Arabidopsis thaliana: one gene and its partners. Each later gene encodes a partner of the first gene's protein in a complex. Each region holds a gene or a part of one and is shown in the gene's direction. Other genes may lie near its edges. The genes, in order: AT3G12260, mtACP2 and EMB1467.

Evidence for each region.
Region 2: the proteins of AT3G12260 (region 1) and mtACP2 are in contact, whole or in part, in a cryo-EM structure (PDB 8BEE), measured with the Arabidopsis thaliana proteins. Residues at the interface, in NP_566416.1 of Arabidopsis thaliana: Phe27 (codon at 4,300), Asp28 (codon at 4,303), Phe30 (codon at 4,309), Arg31 (codon at 4,312), Cys34 (codon at 4,321), Arg35 (codon at 4,324), Arg56 (codon at 4,387), Tyr57 (codon at 4,390), Ser60 (codon at 4,399), Ile63 (codon at 4,408), Arg64 (codon at 4,411); in NP_176708.1 of Arabidopsis thaliana: Phe61 (codon at 4,428), Gln62 (codon at 4,431), Asp82 (codon at 5,389), Ser83 (codon at 5,392), Leu84 (codon at 5,395), Asp85 (codon at 5,398), Val87 (codon at 5,404), Glu88 (codon at 5,407), Met91 (codon at 5,416), Ala92 (codon at 5,419), Glu94 (codon at 5,425), Glu95 (codon at 5,428), Glu100 (codon at 5,443), Ile101 (codon at 5,446), Asp103 (codon at 5,452).
Region 3: the proteins of AT3G12260 (region 1) and EMB1467 are in contact, whole or in part, in a cryo-EM structure (PDB 8BED), measured with the Arabidopsis thaliana proteins. Residues at the interface, in NP_566416.1 of Arabidopsis thaliana: Lys120 (codon at 5,263), Thr121 (codon at 5,266), Phe123 (codon at 5,272), Leu124 (codon at 5,275), Phe127 (codon at 5,284), Tyr128 (codon at 5,287), Thr129 (codon at 5,290), Ser130 (codon at 5,293), Asn131 (codon at 5,296), Tyr132 (codon at 5,299), Phe133 (codon at 5,302); in NP_568550.1 of Arabidopsis thaliana: Trp361 (codon at 4,650), Arg362 (codon at 4,653), Leu365 (codon at 4,662), Ser621 (codon at 5,775), Pro645 (codon at 5,847), Thr646 (codon at 5,850), Ala650 (codon at 5,862), Arg651 (codon at 5,865), Asp652 (codon at 5,868), Trp654 (codon at 5,874), Lys655 (codon at 5,877), Ile656 (codon at 5,880), Arg658 (codon at 5,886), Ala659 (codon at 5,889), Glu662 (codon at 5,898), Val663 (codon at 5,901), Asn671 (codon at 5,925).

Annotation. Positions count from the first base shown.
Region 1 is NC_003074.8:3,907,174-3,914,558, reverse strand, and holds AT3G12260 (LYR family of Fe/S cluster biogenesis protein), read left to right. Parts: upstream 1-4,083; 5' UTR 4,084-4,221; coding exon 4,222-4,440; exon of another isoform or gene 4,441-5,124; coding exon 5,125-5,307; 3' UTR 5,308-5,619; downstream 5,620-7,385. Other genes in the region: RBR1 (retinoblastoma-related 1), read left to right, coding at 70-202, 295-407, 516-631, 714-888; PRMT3 (protein arginine methyltransferase 3), read right to left, coding at 1,437-1,871, 1,949-2,116, 2,204-2,443, 2,528-2,606, 2,839-2,936, 3,052-3,519, 3,600-3,917; TGA6 (TGACG motif-binding factor 6), read right to left, coding at 5,976-6,122, 6,248-6,493, 6,568-6,839, 7,129-7,180. UniProt on the Arabidopsis thaliana protein: Accessory subunit of the mitochondrial membrane respiratory chain NADH dehydrogenase (Complex I), that is believed to be not involved in catalysis. Complex I functions in the transfer of electrons from NADH to the respiratory chain.
Region 2 is NC_003070.9:24,247,031-24,254,613, reverse strand, and holds mtACP2 (mitochondrial acyl carrier protein 2), read left to right. Parts: upstream 1-4,177; 5' UTR 4,178-4,247; coding exon 4,248-4,451; intron 4,452-5,349; coding exon 5,350-5,526; 3' UTR 5,527-5,887; downstream 5,888-7,583. Other genes in the region: AT1G65295 (ubiquitin carboxyl-terminal hydrolase), read right to left, coding at 2,560-2,823, 2,964-3,047; AT1G65280 (DNAJ heat shock N-terminal domain-containing protein), read right to left, coding at 6,093-6,456, 6,760-6,875, 6,964-7,064, 7,155-7,203, 7,292-7,345, 7,505-7,583. UniProt on the Arabidopsis thaliana protein: Carrier of the growing fatty acid chain in fatty acid biosynthesis. May be involved in the synthesis of short and medium chain fatty acids.
Region 3 is NC_003076.8:14,894,201-14,903,190, forward strand, and holds EMB1467 (NADH-ubiquinone dehydrogenase), read left to right. Parts: upstream 1-3,209; 5' UTR 3,210-3,289; coding exon 3,290-3,710; intron 3,711-3,815; coding exon 3,816-4,062; intron 4,063-4,158; coding exon 4,159-4,453; intron 4,454-4,532; coding exon 4,533-4,907; intron 4,908-5,252; coding exon 5,253-6,148; coding exon of another isoform or gene 6,149-6,152; exon of another isoform or gene 6,153-6,234; coding exon 6,235-6,247; 3' UTR 6,248-6,447; downstream 6,448-8,990. Other genes in the region: GORK (gated outwardly-rectifying K+ channel), read right to left, coding at 496-683; AT5G37520 (NEP-interacting protein, putative (DUF239)), read left to right, coding at 8,470-8,571.

The DNA of each region.
Region 1 (7,385 bases):
CTTAACCTTATGCTGAAAAGTTTCTTTACTCGGTGGAGAAGACTAAATTTGTGACAATGACTTGAACAGAGAATAGGGCCAGATCATGTTGACATCATCACATTCTACAATGAAATATTTATTCCTGCCGTAAAGCCGCTGCTGGTGGAGCTAGGTCCTGTAAGAAACGACCGGGCTGTGGAAGCCAATAATAAGCCTGAAGGTAGTTAAGAAAGGCCAGATACTTGTTAGATGTAAGCTTTGTCTATCAATTTAGTCCCTAAGTTAAATGATCGTCTTATTTTGGATTCACAGGTCAATGTCCCGGATCGCCAAAGGTGTCTGTGTTTCCAAGTGTTCCAGACATGTCCCCTAAAAAAGTATCTGCAGTGCACAATGTTTATGTTTCTCCTCTTCGGGGATCAAAGGTAAAGAAGATCATAGTGCTTAACTCTTTATCATGATATGACTAAGTCTTGAGGAGGAGGTAGGTGACAAGATTGTTTGGTTACCTTCCATGTGTTGTGTGTTTGCAGATGGATGCTCTTATTTCACACAGTACAAAGAGTTACTATGCTTGTGTTGGAGAGAGTACACATGCTTACCAGAGCCCTTCAAAGGACCTATCTGCCATCAACAACCGCTTGAACAAGTAAGTAGAAAAATCACGTCTCTCATCAGCTTCTTCCATAAAACCAATCACTGACCCAATCCAATTTCATCTGGTGTCACAGCAGCAGCAGCAACCGCAAGAGGACGCTAAACTTTGACGCAGAAGCAGGGATGGTCAGCGATTCCATGGTAGCAAATAGCCTTAACCTCCAAAACCAAAATCAAAACCAAAATGGAAGCGATGCATCGTCCTCAGGTGGTGCCGCACCCCTTAAAACCGAGCCAACAGATTCATAGATATCTCTCTCTACTTGCTACACCAACTTCTCTTCAGTTATAGCATCTGTAAATCCTTATGTTGCAGAGTTTGCTTTTATGTTTAGCTTTCTAGTTTATAGTGATCACCTCAGGCTATGAGCGGATGGATCCCTTTATTGTTTCTTTTTTCTTTTTTTATCTTAGTTAAGTCAGTCTTAATAAGCATTAATAAATGTCTTTTTCTTGTTCACTCTTTCTAACTGTGTTCGGTGTCCCATCTACTAAATTTATTTTCCACTTTAAAAAAAAACAATTTGTGACATTTACTTAACTTGGAACATATACAGTACAGTTAAGCAATTAACTATAACCAACAAATTGTCTGAACAATTGTCTGTCTTACCTTTTTAGCTCTCTATAAATTTACGCCGCAAAACAACACTTTATGTCGATTTCAGAATAACTTACTACTCCAGCATATTTCTCAAAACTTTCTCAATAGGTTAAATTTAAAACAACCTTGCAACTTATGAAAAAATCCTCAGCAAATTTGCCAGAAAAGAGTGTTACAATGGCTACAATCACATTCATAGATTAAATATCTGAACCGGCCAGTGACGCTTCTGACCCTTTGAGCTCAGCCCAGTAGCCTCTAACGAGATGTCTATGCTGCGATGCTCATGTGCTCGTGCAACACTCACACGCAGATGAATGCTTGAGGCGGGACACTCTTCGGTTCCGATGGCTTCTCTTCTGTCATTACCAGACAGAACCGAGGCCGGTGCCACTGAGATTGGTTCTTGAAAAGTTAAGATTGTCTGAGCCCAGTGTGTTGGGGGAGTGTAGGGTGATGTGGATAGTACGGTTGGGTTTTCCTTACAGAACCTACTGGTGAAACCTGTGTCAAACCACAACACAACACCATGGCACAACCTAGTTTTTGCTTCTGACTCAGTGGGCTCCAGCGTTGCCGTTGCTGTGAAATCTACTTCATCCGGTTTCATGGTAGCCAGGTCAAATGTCTAGAAACAAAGAAATTCAAGGAAATTAATTTCAAAGTTTTTCCTGGCGAAACCAAATAATGTGTGATCTTTCAAACCTGAAGAAGGGTAGGCTGTGTCACTAAATCACGCTCCGCTATAACGTCAACAATGGGAAGTCGAGTAGTGTCGTCATGTATCTCCTTCCCAATTGAAGACATGTCAAAGCCATAGACATCTTCCCAGAAAGGAAGACTTGTTGCACCTTTTCCAAATCCCGCAACAAACTGATCCAAGGAGAAAACAAGGGATAAAACTCATCAAGATGATTTCATGAAAAAGACAACATTTGAAGGGCAAAAGATAAGCTTTACCATAGTGGCCGTGTCAGGGAGGATTGCACCTCCAGGTTTCAACCACCGATCTCTTGCATAGAGCACAGAACTGAGCATTGACTCATATAAAAGGCAGTATCCCATCCATTCGCTGACTAACACATCAACACTATGAGGCTGAATCTGTATCGATTTATCTAGCTCTTCTACCATTGAGTGTGCAACTTCAAGTACCCCATTATGCTCGTTATCATTGAATACTTTGTTATCCTTCGCAATCTGCTAGAAACCAGGTAAATAATTGATATCTATGAGGAAAAAAGAAATAATGAAAATCTTGTAACAAGTAGAAAAAAAGGTAACCTTAGTTGCAACTTTGGCCATCTTCTCACTAGCTTCAACTGCAACTACCCTTGAAGCCCCAGCTTTAGCAGCAAAAAGACTGCAGACAAAGGATAAATGGTTATTGCATGCAAACTAAAAATAAGAAGTACCAAAAGTTTGACTTAAACAATCAAAGGATCTGCATATAGGCAAGAGAAATTCAAGGAAGCCTTCAGAATATGAAATAAAAGAAGCAAATAGAACCACATGTTTAAAGCTTCGTTTAGAGAATGAGAAGAAACCTAAATGAGATGGCCAATATAGAGTGAGAAAGATAACTGCAAACTCACCTCAATATCCCAGTTCCACAACCAACATCCATTACAACAGAGCCATTCAAGAGAGTAGGATTCTTCAAAAGTGCATCTCGGTATGCTTCTGTTCTAACCTGTTACAGACATCAGACACATTGAATAAACCTGACAGCTGATAGTCTTTCTTCATATGGTGCAAGTGCAGGTTAGTTAATTATGACACAATTCCAGAAAAGATTAGTGCATTACCTTATCACTTAGCATCTCCCTGTGAATGCCAAACGAACTATAAGATCCAAAATAGTTCTCATTCACCTTTCTGATGTTCCTATTAACTAGCCTTCCATCACAAACCTTTGGTTCTGCATCTTTCCCATTGACTATCAAATCATCCGCAGAACTTTGCTTTAGGCCATTGCAGTTTGAGAGCGAAGTTACATCCTTACTTCCATTTATATTGCATTTATCACTGTTCGACATTGAGCTTTCCCCTAAAGCCTCGACATCAATGCTTAAATCCCCAAGCTTCTGCAATTCCTCCATCACTTCCTCTCTGTCAAACGTGACTTCTTCATCTTCCTCATCATCTGCAAACGAGTACAAAAGTGAATCCTCCTGCCAAAAAGGCTTCAGATACTTCTCTTCATCCCAAGGAAACTTAACATCTTTGTAATCATCAGCTTCAATCTTCCAACTGAAACACATGTTCTCAGCCACCTAATTCATTAAAGGAACCAAATTTAAACAAAAACAATAAAATTAGAGAAACCAAAAACGAAGGAAGCAAAAACACAAACCTGTGAGCGAATATAGTTGATGAGCTTAAAAGAAGAGTAGAAATCGAGCTTCAATTCCTTTCTAACTCCATGAAAGTCGAATCCGTGGCTTAGACGACAGTGTTCGAAGAGTAAATCACAGGAAACGAAGTGAGAATCACAAAACAAACACAGAAAATCAGATTCCGAGTCGTCACCATCATCCTCCTCCTCCTCCTCTCCTCCTTCTATACCATTATCATCAGCTTTCCAGTCTCCCCAATCTCCTTCGTCTGAGTAATTTTCTTCTTCATCCTCGCTGTAGTTGAGAATCTCGTGCTTCACCATTGTCGCCGCCATGAGAAAGATAACGGCGCCAAGTTCTTAAGAGAGAGGTTTAAGAAAGCGGAGACACCCCGGCGGGATAGAAAAACAATTACCTTCTTACCCTTTTTTGTAAACCGAAACTAACCGGAAATAATTACGGCTATTCTCTACATCAGCTTAGGCCCATAAAAAGCCCATTAGCCACTCACTTCGAAACGACGTCGTCAGATAACTCTGGAAGCAATCAGATAGTCAGATGTTTGTTTCTCTATTCGGCTACTCATTTCTCTTTTAATCTCAGGCAGGAAGGTGAAATTTTTCGATTTCGTAGATCAAAATGGCGGCACCATTCGCGTTGAGGAAAATCGGTGTTCCTCCGAACTCGGCGAACCTGACGGAAGCTCGCCGCCGTGTTTTCGATTTCTTTAGAGCTGCCTGTAGATCTATCCCCACCATCATGGACATTTACAATCTTCAAGATGTCGTCGCTCCTTCTCAGCTCCGCTATGCTATCTCTGCTCAGATTCGGAATAACGCTCACATCACCGATCCTAAGGTACTTTCCCTTAATTTAACTCTGATTAATACGGACCCAGGTCCTATGCGATGGCGAAATTGAAAGCATTTTCCTTGTTTGGCTAATGCGTCTTGGTTGGCTACCAAACAATGAGCTGTTTTATATTTGTTAATCTGATCGTATCTGCTTTCTATTCCACTTTTGGCTTGGATTTATTGTCAGCTTTGTTTGAGTGTTGTTGAAAGCTGAAAGCTTACACCTTCTATCGTGTAGAATTTGTGCAAGTAGTTTATGTGAGCGGAGACTTTTAATTTCTTGGTAGTCTTATCTTATGAACAAAAAAGTGTCTTGTGAATTGGGTGCTTGGTGAAGATTTACTTGGAGCGAAAAGGTGGGAGCTTTACCGGTTACATCCTGCTAAAGCTGTGTTCCTTTCTTCTTTGCATTTGTTTTCTTTCATAGATGAGTCTGTTGTCGTCGATACAGTAAACCTGCTACAAAATTATATACTTCATATCAAAATGGTGTTCTTTCTCGTAGTATGACAGCATTGTTGGCATTTGGTACCAAAGTTAAGATTTGCTTATGTGGTGAATGGTTAGTTGTTTGTATTTTGAACCATCAATTCAAAGCATCTCCTTGAGTGTGGGTGTAGTGATCTCGGATTGGTTCTCTTTTAAGGTGATTTTAGAATGCAATCTGATGGTGGTCTTGCTTCTGCAGGTAATTGATCTTCTTATATTCAAAGGAATGGAAGAGCTGACTGACATTGTGGATCACGCAAAGCAGCGTCACCACATCATCGGTCAATATGTGGTGGGTGAAGGGCTCGTGCAGAATACTGGAAACAAGGATCAAGGAAAGACTGATTTTCTCAAGAATTTCTACACCAGCAACTACTTTTGAACTGGTGATGTTTACTTTTCGAGTTTCACATAAGCTGTACTGTTTATGCTGCTTCAGTTCTTGCTCAAGTTTGCATATGTCTTGCCAGTATTGTATTCTCGACATTTGGAAGAAGTCTTCTTCCTGGAAATAATTAGATCTTTTCATTTGTATGAGTATTTTCTCTGACTCAGGTTGGTTATACATAGTATTAGCCAAACCTCTGTAAGCTTTATGTGTGACAGTGTTTACTGGGCAATCTTGCTATGATTTCAAGATACACAATCTGCTCTCTTTTTTGAACTCTCAATATAAATTGATTTGGTCTGCTGGAGTTTATGATCATACAATCCAAGTTCCTGAAAGGATCCCATCTTCTGTCATGTTGGTAATTGCGACCTTACACTGATCACCTATCCGCTTTGAATATTCAAAGACCTATAAACATTCACTCTATAAAACTATGCAACCTGATGGCTAAAAATTACAACACACACAACACTCGAGTCTTGCGGACCTCAGGAAACCAATTTCAAAACCTGCAGTCTTCTTTCCCAAAATATTGCTTTTGGTAAGAATCTGAGAATGCCTTGCTTTGTGATCGATCTCTTGGAAGGAGTATCCCTGCCGATCTGAGTCATAAGATTATGTATAGGGCTGACTGCTGAGTAGAGCACTATTCTTCTGTTTCACTCTCTTGGCCGGGCAAGCCACAAGGAACTAAGAGCACGTAATCGAGATGAATAATCGTGTATAGCAAGAAGAGCACGAGCTGACTGACGTGTTGTTAATACTCGAAGCATCTGTTGTAGTGTTTGCAGCCTCAAGTTATCAGCCTGCCACCAAGAAATGCCCTATGAACTCCATAACAGACGGATTCATATATAAAATAAAATATTTATCTCTTTGTGACGATGAAAAGATATGGTATATCTCGATAACATCCACATTTCTAAAGTACCTGGCGTATGAATCCTTCGAGGGTGCCTAACTGCCCCATTGCCATGGCCATCTGACCCATGTAGCTCGCGACATTATCCGATGAACTGGAACCAAGAGTTCCACTGGATAAAGTATCAGCTAGGGATTGCTGTAAACTCTCCATCCCTTGAGATAAAGCATCTTCTGCCTGCTGCGACGTCTGCTGCAAGCTATTGATGCCCATTACCTGTCGTTCTGTCATGGGCTCTAGCTGATTCGCAAGAAGCTGTTGTGAAAACACTGCGACTCATTAAGTTGGCTGTTCATCAAAATCTCTCTATGGACTTGGAAAGAGCTTACCTTGAGAAGTTCGGATGAGCGGAACCCGCCAAGCCACAAGAAACATCGCTCAGCTGGTGTTTTCCACATTCCAGATAACAAGTGGAAGACATCATTCTTAGCTGCATTGCTCTTAATCCTGAAAAGCTCCTCATAGTGAGCCATCACTCCATCCACAATTATCCGGAGCTCAGTATCACCTGCATGAGCATTCAGGGCAGATCTCAGCTCGTTCATTTGCCTGTTCTTTTCTTCAAGCCATCGTGAGTGTTCTGCATCAAATGCCAAAGCCCCTGCAGAAAGGCAAGTATACTAGATCAAGAACAAACCCTTGCAGACCTAAGCTAACACCAGCGCAAACTATAAGAAACTTCAGTTTTGACATCACCATGACTTTAATTTCCCATCCAGATCATCACTGACTCTTGAAACCATTAACTCTAACAAGTGTAAGCATATTGCCATGAGATGACTTATGCTATCACCAATTCATCAACATATATGTATATATGCACTTATCTCACATAGAAATTTCAAATCAAAAGGATCAATCTCAAAACTAACAGAGAAGAAACAACCCACCATTGCCACCAGTAGAATGAGCTTGGTCTCCTGAACTTGAGATGAAAACTCCCTAAAATTGAAAAATATATATCCTTAAGTGACAAATACACTGTCATGAGTCATGACAAAGAATCTGATAAGAACCAGAATAGAAATTCTCTGTATGCCATCAACATCCGAATAAACAGACCAGAAGGACCTATTTCGAGAGAGTTACCAGCTACTTTTACCCAACTAAACTATGGATGACCCATAATTCTGTTACCTCCTCTACT
Region 2 (7,583 bases), on another chromosome or scaffold:
TCAAAGGTAATTTAAGATATTTTCTTCTCTATACATTTTTCTATTTGTTATTATTTTTATTTTAATATAATTAATATAAAATGCCTAAAATTGAAACTTACAGTTACAGGTAATAATTAGTTGGATAGAAAGTAAGATTATGTCTAAGCATCTAAACAGCCAGAATCACCCACACTTTCCATTTTGGGTAAATAAGTCAATGGAATGTCAAAAATTGTTTTGGCCTAGCTATCTAGGTGTCCAATTATTCATTTTAATAAAAAATGATTAAAATGAAACATATAAGGAAATAATATATTTGATATAATTTTGTATATTTACATTAATTAAATATACAAAAATTATAGAGAAAAGAAAAACATATCCAATTAATTAGTTTTCTTGGCGGTAAATTATCTAGGAATGTCTAGTTAGCTTTAGCAAATTATGAATATTGGTATAAGATATCTATATCTAAGACTATACCATATTTTAAACTCTTGAATTATGTGAGACAACCTTAGATTTGTCACAATTTAGTAGTTGTTCTAATTAGCCGCTCCATTGAGATGGAGGAGTCTTACGAGTTCACATTAATTCGGATCAGTTTTACTAAACAAACTATTATCCACAAAAAGCTACGGAAAATTTCACAAATTAGGTCTCGTTATTCTAATCTTGACTAACATCTTATTCTTTTTCTGTCTTACAAAGATTTAAGTATTAACGTTAAATAAAAATGGTGATAAAGAATCTCATCGCCGGAGACTACATTGGGAAACATATCTCATACCTCATGATGCATCCCATCCATTTTGAGTCCAAAACCTAACTTCCGAATAAGAGGTTTATTTGGGAAACAATTTCAAGTTCTATCAAAATCTCAGTAGGTACACGTGTTAAGGCTTGTAATGTTTGGAAAATGTCATCTCCACCGTAACTCATCCACCGCAAATTCAAACTCCGCTGTAGACTCATGGCTTCATCTAGACACCTCTGCACACGGATTCCCCCTTTTGCAAATCTCTAGCAATAAATTGATTGATACTTACTCTTCTTCTCCACGTAATCCCATGAAGCAAGGGTATTACGCAGCAAATAATTATAACTTGTTTTAGAGTCATCATTTTCAAAAATGTGACTGTAGTTTAGTGGTTAGTCCCAAACATTTTACTATACAGTTTTGAATCTAATTTAGACGAAAATTTTGTAATTGTTTTAAAAAACAGTTTTTTGTTATTGGGCCAAAATCTTTTTGCTGTAGGCACTCAAATTTGGGCCCTGATTATGGCTTTGATGTGGTGAGGTGAGAAAAGTGTTTAACCAGTCCGGGGTTAGAGGTAAACCCAAAAGATCACCGCTCAAGATTGACCCGACGTGTAAGTGTATGGGTTACATTGAGTTAATCAGTGTTCTTAATCTACCTTTTTATTGTAAGAACAGAAAAACTATACCGTTCTCCGACATTTCAATCACCAATAGACTTGGTGTACTATAGACATTAGACAGCAATGTAGAGTTTAATAAACATGACCTGTGAATATAAATGCAAATTGTCCGATTTAATAAAAGCCAATCAATCACGGGGAAACTGGTATAGTCAACACTCTTAACCCACACACACATATTGACTAAATTTATCACCAAGACAACTTTATGATGTCCCATGTGTGAATAATAAATAACAATTAGTAATTAATTTACAGATCTTGCAGGTTACTTACGCTAACGCAATAGAGAGAGTTGGAACAAACATTTGACATAAAACATCTCTTACAATAATAACAGTGTCAGATAAATAAACATATTCAAAGATATTGTCTAGTCTCTGCACTTGAAGATGAATAATTGCTTTTTTACTCTTTTTCCTCTATTTTAAACTAAAACACTTAAAGATCTTATCAGATCAGAATAAGGCACTAAACTTGATCCATTTTCTTAACATGTCACTCATTACAAAGACTTAACTTTAACAGCTTCACTATCACCACCATCACCATCAATACCATCATCATCATCATATTAAATACTCTTCCAATTGCCAGCTTAACCAAACAATGACTCTTTTCCAAAATATGCTAAATTCTAACTTTTAACTTTCTTAAAACACATAAGAAACAAAATGATGAAGTAAACAAGAGAATGAAAAAAAAAAAAAAAGAGAGAGAGAAAGACAGATAGAGAGAATTGATTGAACAGAGAAGAAGAAACAAATCTTGCTTGAAGTGTGAACAAGATTCTCAAAACAAAAAAAACCCTAGAAAATTATGAAAAAATGGCAAATGCAAAAAGACAATTAATTAATGAGGATGATGATGTTGCTGAGATAGTAGGTAATGAAATTTAATGAAGACTGAAAAATAAATTATAGACAAAAAATAAGTAGAAGACTCAAACCAAGAACAGATATTCTTCTTTTTTTCCTCCCTTTCACACTTGAAGATGAATCAAGATTTAGATTCACTTGTTTCTCTCCCCTGGAATCAAAACATTCATAACCAAACATCAAAACATGAACTGAGCAGAAACTAAGAACAGAGAAGAATAAGAAACTTACAAATTACAATGAAGTAGAAGATCTCAGATATGGCAACCAAAGCAATTGCAAGTTTTGGGAGTGAAAGAACAGTAACCAAAGGGTCTATTAGGGATATTGCAGTTAATAGCATAGCAACAAGGAGAAGGCAAGCAAAGACCTTTAGCACCACCACAACAAGTACAAACTGAACATATCTGAAAACTTCCAAGTTTCCTTCTTGTTTCATTCATTACCATAAACTTCTCCTCCCCCAATGGCACCATCATCATCTCATTATCTCCTTCAGCTGGTAATACCTCATTTGCCTAAACAAAATTCCAATCAAAACCCATAAAGCTCAAAACTTTGAATTCAGGTTATGTTAAAGGTTTGATTTTTAACAAAATTAGAAATACCCAGATGTGAAAGAAGAGAACTTTAGAGGGATCTAAGTAAAGAAACTAACCTGGTGACTGGAACTGATGAAGATTGAGAAGAGAAGAAGCAACAAGAAGACAATAGAGATCTTCGATTCTTCTAAAGTTCTCATTTTTTTTTTTTTTGGTTTGAAATTTTATTTTCTTTGTTGGGTTTGGTTTATTATGTGGTTAGGGATTTTGGGTAAAGTAGCAAATGCTACTTCTCTCTCGAGCTACTTTTTTCAATTATTTTGGTTATAACATTTATGATTTTTGTAGAGAAATGTTTTTGTTTTTTTTATTGAGGGAAGAAATAATAAGTGGGGTCTTTAATTTTACTATTCTTTAATTTCTCCACTTCATTACCACACCAATATCGAATCAACTGATAGAGAAAACCATACCAATTGTAATAAAACAGATTCTTCTTCTTCTTTTCGAAGGATCTGATTCTTTTGGTGACAAATATAATTTCAATAACGTTGAGTGTTTTTTTCAATTAGCATTTAGAATAGTGAAGTGGAGAAGATACCAGGCAGCAAAATTTATAACCCATACATAAGAGCTTATTTGGTCAATGACAAGAATTTAAAAGTGTGTCGTACATGTAGTATATAGTCTTTGAGTTCATAGTTTCAGTAAATTTCTTTGAGTTCATATCTCTGGTACTGAAATCTGATAACAAATAAAATAAATGAGTCATCTCACAATATCTAAAGGAATAATCTAGAAAATGCGTTGCCAAAACGTGGTTTTGAAATTGTCCACAAATCTGAAATCTTTGTAAAGTAGTAATCTTCAATATCCAATATATACCGGAAGAAAAATTACGAGAATACTATTACCGTAATTAGTAAATCAAAAAGATTTTCATATATTCTATTAATAAACTTAATACAAAGAAGATCAAGGTATATATCTTTAGGTGCAAGACAAGCAAAAGTAAATCTACTTGCAACTCTCATTAATAATACTATGTAAAGTTGATGGTGTAAGAGATAAAAAAAACGTTTGCTTTGAAGAAGATAACAAGGAAATCTCAAAATTGCTTAATAGTACTAAATTAAAATTTGAAACCTTCAATTGGTTGGGAGCTAGATTCTGAAAGCACAAATTTGAAGAATGCCAAGTCAAACGGATTAAACGGGACTTGTGAAACTGATACTACTAGATAAAATTCTTGACAAAGCCCAAGCGTTAGAGGGCTCAGATAGGCCCACTTTACAAATGTAACGACGTCGTTTTGCGTATCTCAAAGTAAGGAAATCTCTCCTTCGAGAGCAAAGAGAAAGAGCTTGCTAGGTTTTTCTCTTACTCTGCAATACACAGCAATGGCGGCGAGAGGTGCTATGCTTCGATACCTGAGAGTCAACGTCAATCCAACAATTCAAAACCCTAGAGAATGTGTACTTCCTTTCTCCATTCTCCTTCGTCGTTTCTCCGAGGAAGTTAGAGGCTCTTTCCTTGACAAATCTGAGGTCACAGATCGAGTTCTCTCTGTCGTCAAAAACTTCCAAAAAGTTGATCCTTCTAAGGTAAATTCTTCTTCGATCCGACCCATTTCTTCATTTTCGATTGTATTACGATGAAATTGTGTGATCCGTGGTGATTTCTGGTGTTTACTTGTTATCTAGAAATGAAAGATGATTAAAAGCTTTGATTTGTAGCTGGATTTAGTATTCATTGAAGTCTATCACTCAGCAATTATTCGTTATTATTTACTAACCTTGAGTAGAGAGAACTTAGGATTCTGCATCGTTTTATTTTTCACTTGCAAGAACAAAGGAGAAAGTTTTATCGTCTTGAGAATTGTATATGTACATTTGAGTATCTACATTACAACAATTTGGAAACTTTTGTTCATACTTGTGTTGATGTCTTCTTTTGTGGCTTAAGGAGATTTGTCCATTTCTTATTTACGTCTAGTAGCAATGCATATTTTCCTCGAAGGGTTGGAAACTATTAGTGAGTCCTATGTATTATTGTTAAGCGATAATAAACATTCGCTCCTTGTTCTCTTATATTTCTGTGAATTCTTGTTTTCTCGATGCCATGTTCGGGTGTTTCTAGCTAATGAAAAGTGCATTTGACTGATGTGGTTCTACTGATAGCTTATCTTTGATTAGGTTGAGATTTTCAAGATCCCTTCAGCATCATGTAGAAAAGAAGTTATCATTCTTGTATCTTGAAAGCTTTTTGAGAAGTTTAGCCGAGTGATTATTTGTGCATTTACTGTAGGCTTTGTGTTTGAGTGTTCATGTAGTGCTTCTTAGCCCTCTTGATCAGCAACGAAACACTAAATAATAACTTGGAGACTTCATCTGACTATCTGAACTAATCAGTTGTTATCTATATTGGAAGTCTCAGGCTCCAATTTCATTGCTTTCTACTAGGCTTGAACTCTGTACTAATACATTTGTACTCTGGTGGCAGGTAACACCAAAAGCCAATTTCCAAAATGATCTAGGGTTGGACAGTTTGGACAGTGTGGAAGTTGTGATGGCATTGGAGGAGGAATTTGGGTTTGAGATCCCTGATAATGAAGCAGACAAGATCCAGTCCATCGATCTAGCCGTTGACTTTATTGCTTCTCATCCTCAGGCTAAGTGAAAAGAGAAACAAATTCTTCGGTGTTCATGCGTGCCTCAGCTGTGTCTACAGATTTTGTTAAAGCCTAATAAGAAGTAAAGAAGCAAACAACATTTTCTTTTTGTCATGAGAATGGATAAGCTTTTGTGTTGGCTCTACTACTCTGGTTTCATAAGTATTAGATGTGTTTCTGCATGAATTACGAGGCCTTTCAAAGAACTTTGTTTTCTCTTGATTTTATCTTATTAAACGCATCAGACACTCCTTGCATTATTAAACAATCCTTCAAGTGTCCCTGGCTCGTCTTTCATTTAAAAAAAAAAAATCCATTTGCTAATTTAGCGTTCAAATAAATGGAACATACATAGAGTTAATAACTATTCAACATATACTCATTTTATAATCTACCACAGAACATACATAAAGTGTCGAATCTTGTTTAACTTAGTATGCATGTGAAAAAAAAAGACTACAGTAGCAAAAGAAAAAACAAGATTTGGTAAGAAATACTCTTTTTGGGTATAAAGTTCCAAAAATATTTGGAATTGGATACATTTATCGTCAAAACAAGTTTCCTTCAACAAGCTCTAAAGGAAGCTTCTTTGGAAATTCCCAGAAGAAAACTTGGAAGCCAAACCTTCAGCCATACCATCGGCATCAAGTTTCACATTCTGTCTCCCGGCAGTAAGGTCGTTTTCACGGTCCCATGGCTTCCACGGATGTTTCCCTACCCACTCGTCCTTCTCGGTTTTCTCTTTGGATGAAGACAATTTCTTCTTCTTTTTCAGACGGCTTGAAGAAGAAGAAGAGTCTTCTCTGTGCTTCTCTACCAGAGACTTTGCTCTTTTCTCTTTGTTATACTTGTCTACAAGCTCAGCATCCATGCTTCTTTTCATATTTTCCCCTTCGTTTGATGCAAGCGCACTCGCCTTGTTGTATGCCTCCAAGTAACTGATAAGAACAGCGGAAAGAACAAATATAAGAACAACGCTATGAAACTTCAACCAAATGACCAAAACCTTGAATATCTACTCCGCCCTTCAACAATCTGCAGAGACAGCCCTATAAATCCAACCCTAACTAATGGCTATCTAACAACTCACAACAGCTACGATTGATGTATTCAGTCCTAGGCTAATTATAGTAGACCTAGAACTTAGGTTTGAGCAGCTGAACTTCTTCAAAAAGAACCAATGTGTTTTGCTTTCATGACCAAACAACATCGTGAAATGTAGTTAATTAGTGTGTTCTTACTTCATCTTTGCTCTTTCAGCTTTGTCCATAGGAGTATCAGTCCACGCTGTAGTGTCTCCGCGTCCTTCTCTAGCATTTCTACTAAACGTGGTTGATTGCTGCACGGCCACTCCAACCTGCGAAAGAAGAACCCCAAATAAGATTTAAAAGTTAAACACTATCCAATAATTCAAAAGCGTTTTCAATCAATTGTGGATCTCTCACCTTTCTTTCAGGAGGCAGAGTGGTCATCCACTCATCTCTTTTAGGTTCAGGTTTAACCTCGGTTGCTGCCAACAACTCTGCATCCCCTTCCATTGATATGCCTGCAAAACGGAAAAAAATCTTCATTAGATTTTCATCCCTAAGAGGCAAAGAGATTAAGGAGCCTGCATGCCACAATGATTCATCTTCACCTTGTGATCTTCTCCACTGTGCTGCTTCTTGCATTGAACGTAATTCAACCTGTAGGGAAATACACCATGTCTATGTAAGTAAAACCAACATATTTATCCTGAAAGATTACATAGATCAATCCGGCAGAATTACAAACCTTAAATGCCTCTTGTTCCTCCTTAAGTTTAATCTTGTCATCCATTGCTTTTCTCTGTAGACATTAATACATTAGAGATATAATAAAAAGGGCAATATATAAGAGATGGTATTAAGTGAATACACATAAAGAGATGATGGATGGCCACATGATTCAGTAAGTCTCTAAGAGCATATTGAAAAATAATCAGACAGTAGATGATTCTTATCTCACCTTTTCTGGATCTTGTAATTCTTTGAAAGCTTTATTCAGTAAAACAAAAGCTTCCTGGGCTTGGGGATGAGAACATTTG
Region 3 (8,990 bases), on another chromosome or scaffold:
CATTGTAGACGGATTCTATTTTTATTATTTTGTATTACTATAAATTATACTTTATGAACGGTAAATAAAAAGCAATCCAAACTGTAAACGGATTTGTCCATTCTAATTATCGTAATTTTTCGAACCTTAAATCATTTAGTTGTTTTAAAAAATCCTTGACATAAATATTAATATTTAAACTAGATTGAAGTGATACTAATATTAGATTAGATTGGTGACACAGCCTTAAAAATGAGCAGAAAGAAATAACGATAAGAGTTTTAGTGATTGATAATTATTAAAATGGTGAATTTTCTATTATTGTATTATTCGAAGTTAAAACTAGGGAGACAAGTTTTTGAAGTGGTATGGTGAATAAAGTTTTTTTCTGAAGTTACAGAAAAAAAAACAGAAGATATTTTGAAGGTTTCAAGAAAAGTATTTTCTACGTATTTATCTCCCGATAGAAAGGAAACTCTTCAAGTGCATGATGAAGAAAGAGAAAAAAGAAAGAACCTGTTTTTGGGATGAATGATGTATTTATAATCATTATGACCATCGGTTTCAATTCTCCGATGCTCTGATGAATCAAGCCACCGAAACGTCTCGGCTAAACTGAGTTTTCCTCTTCTTGATGAAACGTCGTCGTTTGATTCCTCTTCTTCATGATCTATTATCTCTTGCCGTCTCCGGAGACGTCCCATGTTTTCAAGAATCGGTTAAATGAAATCTCCGGCGATCTCTTCGACACAAAGATCTAGAAAAACAGAGTTTAATACCCGATTCAACTCTTGAATCTGACACTCGAAACTTCGTCTTTTTGGTAGAAGATAGATCTTGTAATGTTTTACAAGTTGAAGAGAAAAGGCGGGAAGATCACGAGAGCTGCTTCTCTGTTTTTTTCCAAATTATTTTTTGTTTGGTCTTCTTTAGTTCTTCTTTCTCGTGATGTTAAAGCTATATTGATTTTGTTTCTGTCGAGAAACTACTGTTTTTTTTTTGTTTGGTTTGGACTCTTTATTAGTTGAAGTGTATAACGTAAGGTTTTGTCTAGAAGGACCGAATTTATATAGGACATCAGAACATGTCGATTGTCGAACATATATCATTGTTTTTTTAATATAAAAAATCTCATCTAAATTAAAATTTGGAATTGAATTGTACGAACGGCTAATAAAAATTTACCAAAAGATTACGATGCTCCAAATCTGGATGATGATTCCCTAAACCGGTTTTTGTGAATCATTTCTAGCATAATCGAATTTAAGTTAATCTGGACTAGTGTACTTGAACATTCACGGGGTAAGTGGGGGAGTTATTTTTTTTTAAGACAATAAATCTGTTGTAAATTGATGTACTAGTTATAGACATTAATGGGTGTGTAACAGCATTTCCTATATGTTTAACGTAGGATTTCTGTTTAAAGTAAAATCAAAATTTACATCAGGTTTTGAGATTTTTAGTTTTAAATTTTCCAAATGGTCGGCTTTGTATAAAACCAAGAGAAGAAATTAAATATACACGAATATGAGGACGTGTCCAGAAAAAGAAGAATATCGACAATAAAAATCACCTAATTTGCATCTAAATATTGACTTTCATAGTACGCTAGAGATAATCAGTTCATCTTCACCTTATTCTTTGCATTGTGTAAAAGAGAGATTATGCAGAGTTTCCTAGTTGACGAGAATGAGATAGCAGAGATATTTCTTGTTTTCGTTTTGCACTTTAGAGGTACTACCTTATCGAGTTGTATGAATATGATTGTCTTGCTTCTATTTTTTTTTTTCATTTTTGGCTTTGATTGAATAAAGGTGAGAATTTTTATTTATTTTTCGCAAAGTATTTCCTTAAAATATTAGTATTTCGGTTTAGATTAGAACAAATACGAGACGATAAATAGTTTGATAACAAAAAGCTATATATGTTGTGTTTCATATCTTATCAACTCGGTCACATCCTCTTTCCATTGGATGCAATTCTTTTTCATAGAAGAACCACTAATTCTTTTTTTTCTTTTGCCATTAACCCAACAATTTTTATTGTAGTTAGTGGTTCTCCCTTATGTTTCTTTGCCTTGGAATGTAATCACTCTGTTTTGACAAAAAAAAAAAAAGAAGGAATGTAATCACCCTGTTTGACAAAAAAAAAGAAAGGAATGTAATCACTCTGTTTGACAAAAAAAAACAAGAGAGGAATGTAATCACTCTTAAAGTGATCTATAACAATTTGAAAAAGTGTCATATTTATTAGCTATAACTTATAACTTTATAAGTTTTGAATGGATGCAGTGGACAAAGCGGTATACTTTGTATGCGGTTTAATCTACCTTATTTTGAGGCGGACAATAAACCGCTGTGGACCAAGTTTATTTATATGTAAAAATAGTTCGTGGATGATTCACAGATGATCTGTTGCGGTTTTCTTCTTTTTTTTTTGTCCGGACCACTGTGCACTATAATTGATTAATGGTAAATAAAAAACAGTCTGATCCGTTGATGGTTTTGTCCGCCCGAACCGCCGTAACCATTCAAACCCATAATTAAAATTATAACGAATTACTATGTAAATTTATAACTAAAACTATCAAATTAAACGAGTTAAATTATACTTATCATGTCTGCCTGTAATGATAAGATAATATATATCAAAGCTTATGAAACTTCATTTTTTTTTTTTTTTGGTTGTCATTGCAAAGGTTAGATTAATAACAATATCACTGATAATGATGCTTACACGTAAACCTAAACAAACGAGGAAAATAAACTAACTCTTACACGTAAACCTTAACCGATGCAGCATAGGTGTTGACAATATTTTCTTTCCTTTTATTTAAATAGACGACGTTGAGATGTTTAAAATTGTCATCATTTATAACCATATTTTAAGTTGTCTTTATCTGAAATATACAAATGTTCAATTAGTACATTGACCTAAAAGTCTCTAGGACTAATGATTGATTAGAGGTTTATTTTGCTAGAGGTTCTAATATGTTGTATGGAACTAGAAGCAAGATTGTTTTAAACTCAATGTCATTAAGTGAATTAGAGAAAGATCATCAAAACTCTTAAACTATATCTCCCAAAATTAACTTAATTCAGTTTGAAAAGAAAAAGCCCACAAAGCCCAAAACTCACTCATTCATAAGCCAATTATAATATCCAAAATAAAAGCCCATAAAGCCCAAAACTCACTCATTCGTGTCTCCTTCTCTCTCGCACAAATGCTTCAGGAGTTCTCACAACAAGATCGAGAAATACACACATAGAAGACGAAGAAGAAGAAGAAGACGATACAGATCCACAACGCCATGGGTTTAGGCATCTTAGCTTCTCGAACAATTCGACCAGCTTCACGTCTTCTTCAATCTCAAACCTCCAATTTCTTCCTCCGCACAATCGTCTCAAAACCAGAGCTCCAATCTCCTGAATCCGCTGCTGTCTCTGAGCCTGAGCCGCCGACACAGATTCTCCCTCCTAGAAACCCTGTAGGTGGAGCACGCGTCCACTTCTCGAATCCTGAAGATGCGATCGAGGTCTTTGTCGATGGTTACGCGGTCAAAGTCCCTAAAGGATTCACTGTTCTTCAGGCTTGTGAGGTCGCTGGAGTTGATATCCCGAGGTTTTGTTATCATTCTCGTTTATCTATTGCTGGAAATTGCAGGATGTGTCTTGTTGAGGTTGAGAAATCTCCTAAGCCTGTAGCTTCATGTGCCATGCCTGCGCTTCCTGGTTAGTTCGATTCCAGGAAAATTTCTATGCTGATGGATTGATTTTGATCGTTGATTGGTGGAATATATTTGGATTTGGTGCTATTGCTAAGAGTTTTTGTAACAGGGATGAAGATTAAGACTGATACACCGATAGCTAAGAAGGCGAGGGAGGGAGTGATGGAGTTTTTGTTGATGAATCACCCTTTGGATTGTCCTATTTGTGACCAAGGAGGAGAGTGTGATCTTCAGGATCAGTCTATGGCTTTTGGATCTGATAGAGGACGTTTTACTGAGATGAAAAGATCTGTTGTTGATAAGAATCTTGGTCCTCTTGTGAAGACTGTTATGACTCGGTGTATCCAGTGTACAAGGTTACTAATATAGTTTGCTTATAGTGTGATGTTTTAGTTAATGTGATAGATACGCTATCCTGTTGATTAGGTTTTGTATGTATAATGTTTTTGTAGGTGTGTACGATTTGCTTCTGAAGTTGCTGGGGTTCAGGATCTTGGTATACTAGGTCGTGGTAGTGGAGAGGAAATTGGAACTTATGTTGAAAAGCTTATGACCAGTGAACTCTCTGGAAATGTTATTGATATCTGTCCTGTTGGAGCCTTGACCTCAAAGCCTTTTGCCTTTAAAGCCAGAAACTGGGAGTTGAAAGCAACAGAAACTATTGATGTTAGTGATGCTGTTGGGTCCAACATCCGTGTTGATAGTAGAGGACCAGAAGTAATGCGTATCATTCCACGCCTGAATGAGGTATGTAATGCTTTTGTTCAAAAACACTATTTTTAAAAGTATTTTGCTGGATGTTGAACTTGTGAATGTTCTTATTCAGGATATAAACGAAGAATGGATATCTGACAAAACCCGATTCTGTTATGACGGCCTGAAAAGACAAAGGCTGAGCGACCCTATGATCCGAGATTCCGATGGACGATTCAAGGCAGTGAGCTGGCGTGATGCCTTGGCTGTTGTGGGTGATATCATTCATCAGGTGAAGCCAGATGAGATTGTTGGAGTAGCAGGTCAGCTATCTGATGCGGAATCCATGATGGTACTGAAGGACTTCGTTAACAGAATGGGCTCAGACAATGTATGGTGTGAAGGAACAGCTGCTGGTGTTGATGCTGATCTTAGATACAGTTATCTGATGAACACTAGCATCAGTGGACTTGAAAACGCCGATCTCTTCCTTCTCATCGGTACCCAGGTGAGATTTCCACCCTGTCTTTTTTGTATGGTTTCTGGTACCGGATTAGACAGACCGCTCTGTATTTGGAACAATGACATAAGAAAAACCAAATTGTGTAGTTTGATACTTTGATTTAGTGGTGTGGCTTAAGGTTCTGTGCATAATTTGGAATACAGAGGCAAATAGAAAGGAGAAACAAGCAAAATTAAGTTTCTAAAAAACAGATCAGATGTTAACATTTCGCTTGTATTGAATATTCCTGATCCAGACCAATCTAGATCAAGCAAAACTTGCTCTTCCAGATATCAAAGTTGTGAAGGTTTTTTAGCAGTACATTCACCAGTTTTTGTCTATTTTTACCAGCCTAGGGTGGAAGCTGCAATGGTGAATGCTAGGATCTGCAAGACAGTCCGTGCATCAAATGCCAAGGTTGGATATGTTGGTCCACCTGCAGAGTTCAATTACGACTGCAAACACCTCGGGACTGGGCCTGATACTCTCAAGGAAATTGCTGAGGGACGGCATCCATTCTGTACGGCTCTCAAGAACGCCAAAAACCCTGCAATCATTGTTGGTGCTGGGCTCTTCAACAGAACTGATAAAAATGCTATCCTCTCTTCTGTGGAGTCCATTGCACAAGCCAACAATGTTGTCCGACCAGACTGGAACGGTCTCAACTTTCTCCTTCAGTATGCTGCCCAAGCGGCTGCTCTTGATCTTGGTCTCATTCAACAGTCCGCCAAAGCCCTCGAGTCTGCAAAATTCGTCTACTTGATGGGAGCAGACGATGTAAATGTTGACAAGATTCCTAAAGACGCCTTTGTGGTTTACCAAGGACACCATGGAGACAAAGCGGTTTACCGTGCAAACGTAATTCTCCCTGCATCGGCCTTCACTGAGAAAGAAGGAACCTATGAAAATACTGAAGGATTTACCCAACAGACTGTTCCAGCTGTTCCAACAGTTGGTGATGCAAGAGATGACTGGAAGATTGTGAGAGCCTTATCCGAGGTCTCGGGTGTGAAGCTTCCATACAACTCAATCGAAGGTGTTAGATCAAGAATAAAGAGCGTTGCACCAAATCTAGTCCACACAGATGAGCGAGAGCCAGCTGCTTTTGGGCCTTCATTGAAGCCTGAGTGCAAGGAGGCAATGAGCACAACACCGTTCCAAACCGTGGTTGAGAACTTTTACATGACAAACTCGATCACAAGAGCATCAAAGATCATGGCGCAGTGCAGTGCCGTGCTCTTGAAAAAGTGAGAGCTTTAACTTGGGTTTTCACATTTTCTCTCTTTTCGCAAAAATAAAGATACTGATTCTTCGTTTGCTGTCCTCTTTATAGACCTTTTGTTTAAGCCTGAGTATCACTGTATCTCGGGTTTAGCTTGCGGTGAAATCTATAAGCAATTTGCAATAAGCACATTGTTAGATTCAAAACTTTGCAGTGTTAATTGGATGCTTTGTGGCATCTTGTATTGTTCTTATTAGGACTCCCTTTTACATTTGCATATATGAATTTGGAGGCATGGCGATATATACAATCTCTACTTTTATCGTTTGTTCTTAACCATTGTGATTGTTACAAATAATGCAAATCTTGAAAGGATTAGATGGTTTCCAATGTGAGATGATCACTTGTGAACTAAACTGTTTTTGACAAGTTATGTTACCTAAAATCATTTCAGTTTCAACTTTGTGATTGGTCATAAAGAAAATTTCAGATAGATTATGAAAGACAATCACAAGTAACATATAAATTTATTTTAGAAAAACTTACCTAAACCAATCAATTTTTTTTTATAGCTGGGATAATTAATCCATCCAACTTTTTTTATCTTTCTCAAACAACCAACTTTTTATTATCAAATTGCTTTCTTACTGATTAGGTCTTATATCTAAAAGTATAATATAAGCAAAAAAATTATTTAATTTAATTAATTTTAAATAACCTGTTTTTTTTTTTTTTTGAACTTCAACACATTGTTTATTGGTTAAAATCCATGCTAAATGGATAAGATTTTTTTGATACATGTCCAAATCTTGTTGACCAATAACACATGTAAAAAACATTTTGTTAGTTTTTTTTGGGTAAGAATAATTAGTATATGTAAATATTCTTTTAATTAGTTTTTATTTTCTGTAAAAGAAAACAAAAAAATAAAACAGTTGTTGATATCTAATCGAGAAAGTTACCCGTGTCGCAATCATGTGAGTTACTAATTTTGAAAACCAAAGTTTATATAATAAAATAATTATACCAAGTTAAGTTCATAAGTTAGTAATCTAGATTTACACATTTTTATACAGATACACAATACATGTAATAACAATAATCATGTACCATAACACTTAATAAAAAAATGAGTTAATTATATAGTTCAAATTTTATGAAAAAGAAATCATGTGTATCTAGAAAATATTAATGTTATTTATATTTCTCTTTATCTCATTTATTTTGATATTATTATATAAATCTCTCTTTACTCTTTGATTGCCACTCCAACCTTATTTCTTAGAGAATATGAAATTAAGTTTTCCAGGAAAGTTGTTCTTCTTGTTAGGTTATATCCTATGTTTCAGCGATATATCGAGTTTCAATAATCATTTTGTGGATGCAGAAACATTGCAAAATTTCACCTCATTTGAAATGGAAGAACAACTTAAAGTCATCGACGAACATGCAGCTAAAATCATCAAAGTCCGTTTAATTTCATCTTATTTTCTTAGAGCTGCACTCGTTACCTTGATTTATACATATATATATATATATATATATATCTGAATTTTGTAGAGATATGTGAAGTTTACAAAATATTTTATAATCTACTTTTTGTTTATGGATGATAGACTACACATGGAGATACATATGAATGTGTGGATTTTTACAAACAACCAGCGTTTGACGATCAGACCATGAAAAATCACTTGCTCAACTACAAAGTATATAATAAATTGAATATAAGTGAATCTGATCATTATTTATCACTAATACAAAATTCTTTGTAAATGTAGATGCATCAGATATCATCCCGTAAAAATTCAAGAACAAGAAAAATAAATGACAAAAAATTTGGTTTCTTGTGGGAAAATGGTGTAGGGTGTCCCATTGGTACCATACCCATACAAAGAGTCACCAAAGACAAACTTTTGAGATTAAATTCGTATTCCAACAAATCTAAGCCCCAAGGTTCTTGGAACTTCACTTATAATCAATATAATGTCGAACATCATGTAAGTAGTACCCTTCCTTATGTTTTATAAGATGTTTTAACTATTTTTTTCTTATGGTATAAGTTTTAGTTATGTAAGAAATATAAGTGTGTTTTAATTAATTACCTTTAAAATTCTAAATTATTGTTGTTAGAAACAAATTAATTTCAAAAATGTAAATATAACTTTTTAAATCTCCGTGCAGTCATCTTTATAAAAAGATACAAAATATATAATTTTGTTATTTTGCTCAATATATAGAATTCTATTAAATTCAAAATAAGAGTTGATTATGCATGGTTATGATGACTAGTTTGCAGTTGCTCGAACCAAGAGAGGAGAAAAGAAAAGCTATAGTGGAGTATCGATGGCTATTTCTGTACATGATCCTGAAGTTAGATCTCCGCAATTTAGTTCTTCTCGTATGCACGTTCAGATTGGAGACGATTTTATTCAAGCTGGATGGACTGTAAGTTTGTTTCAACATTTTATGTTTAATTAGAGTTGCGGCCTAAAAGTATAAAAATATAAATCATAATAAATTGGTTTTATTATAAATACTTAGAAATATACTACACTTAGTTTTAATATTATTAACATAAATCTATTAAAATTTCAGGTAAATCCGGCTTTATATACTGACATGCAACCACGAAGTTATGTTTATACGAAAGTAAGTTTATTACTTATATATCTTCAAATACCAAGAAACTTATTTAACTTTTCTTTTTTTTGACAGCTCCAAGAAACTTATTTAACTATATAACATGCTATTGTAAAATGATTATAAAATTTAATCATTTGCCTAAATTACTTCAAAATTTAAAAGATAAATTAAACACACATTATATATCTTTACAAAAGAAAACAAAATTCCTCACATTATAT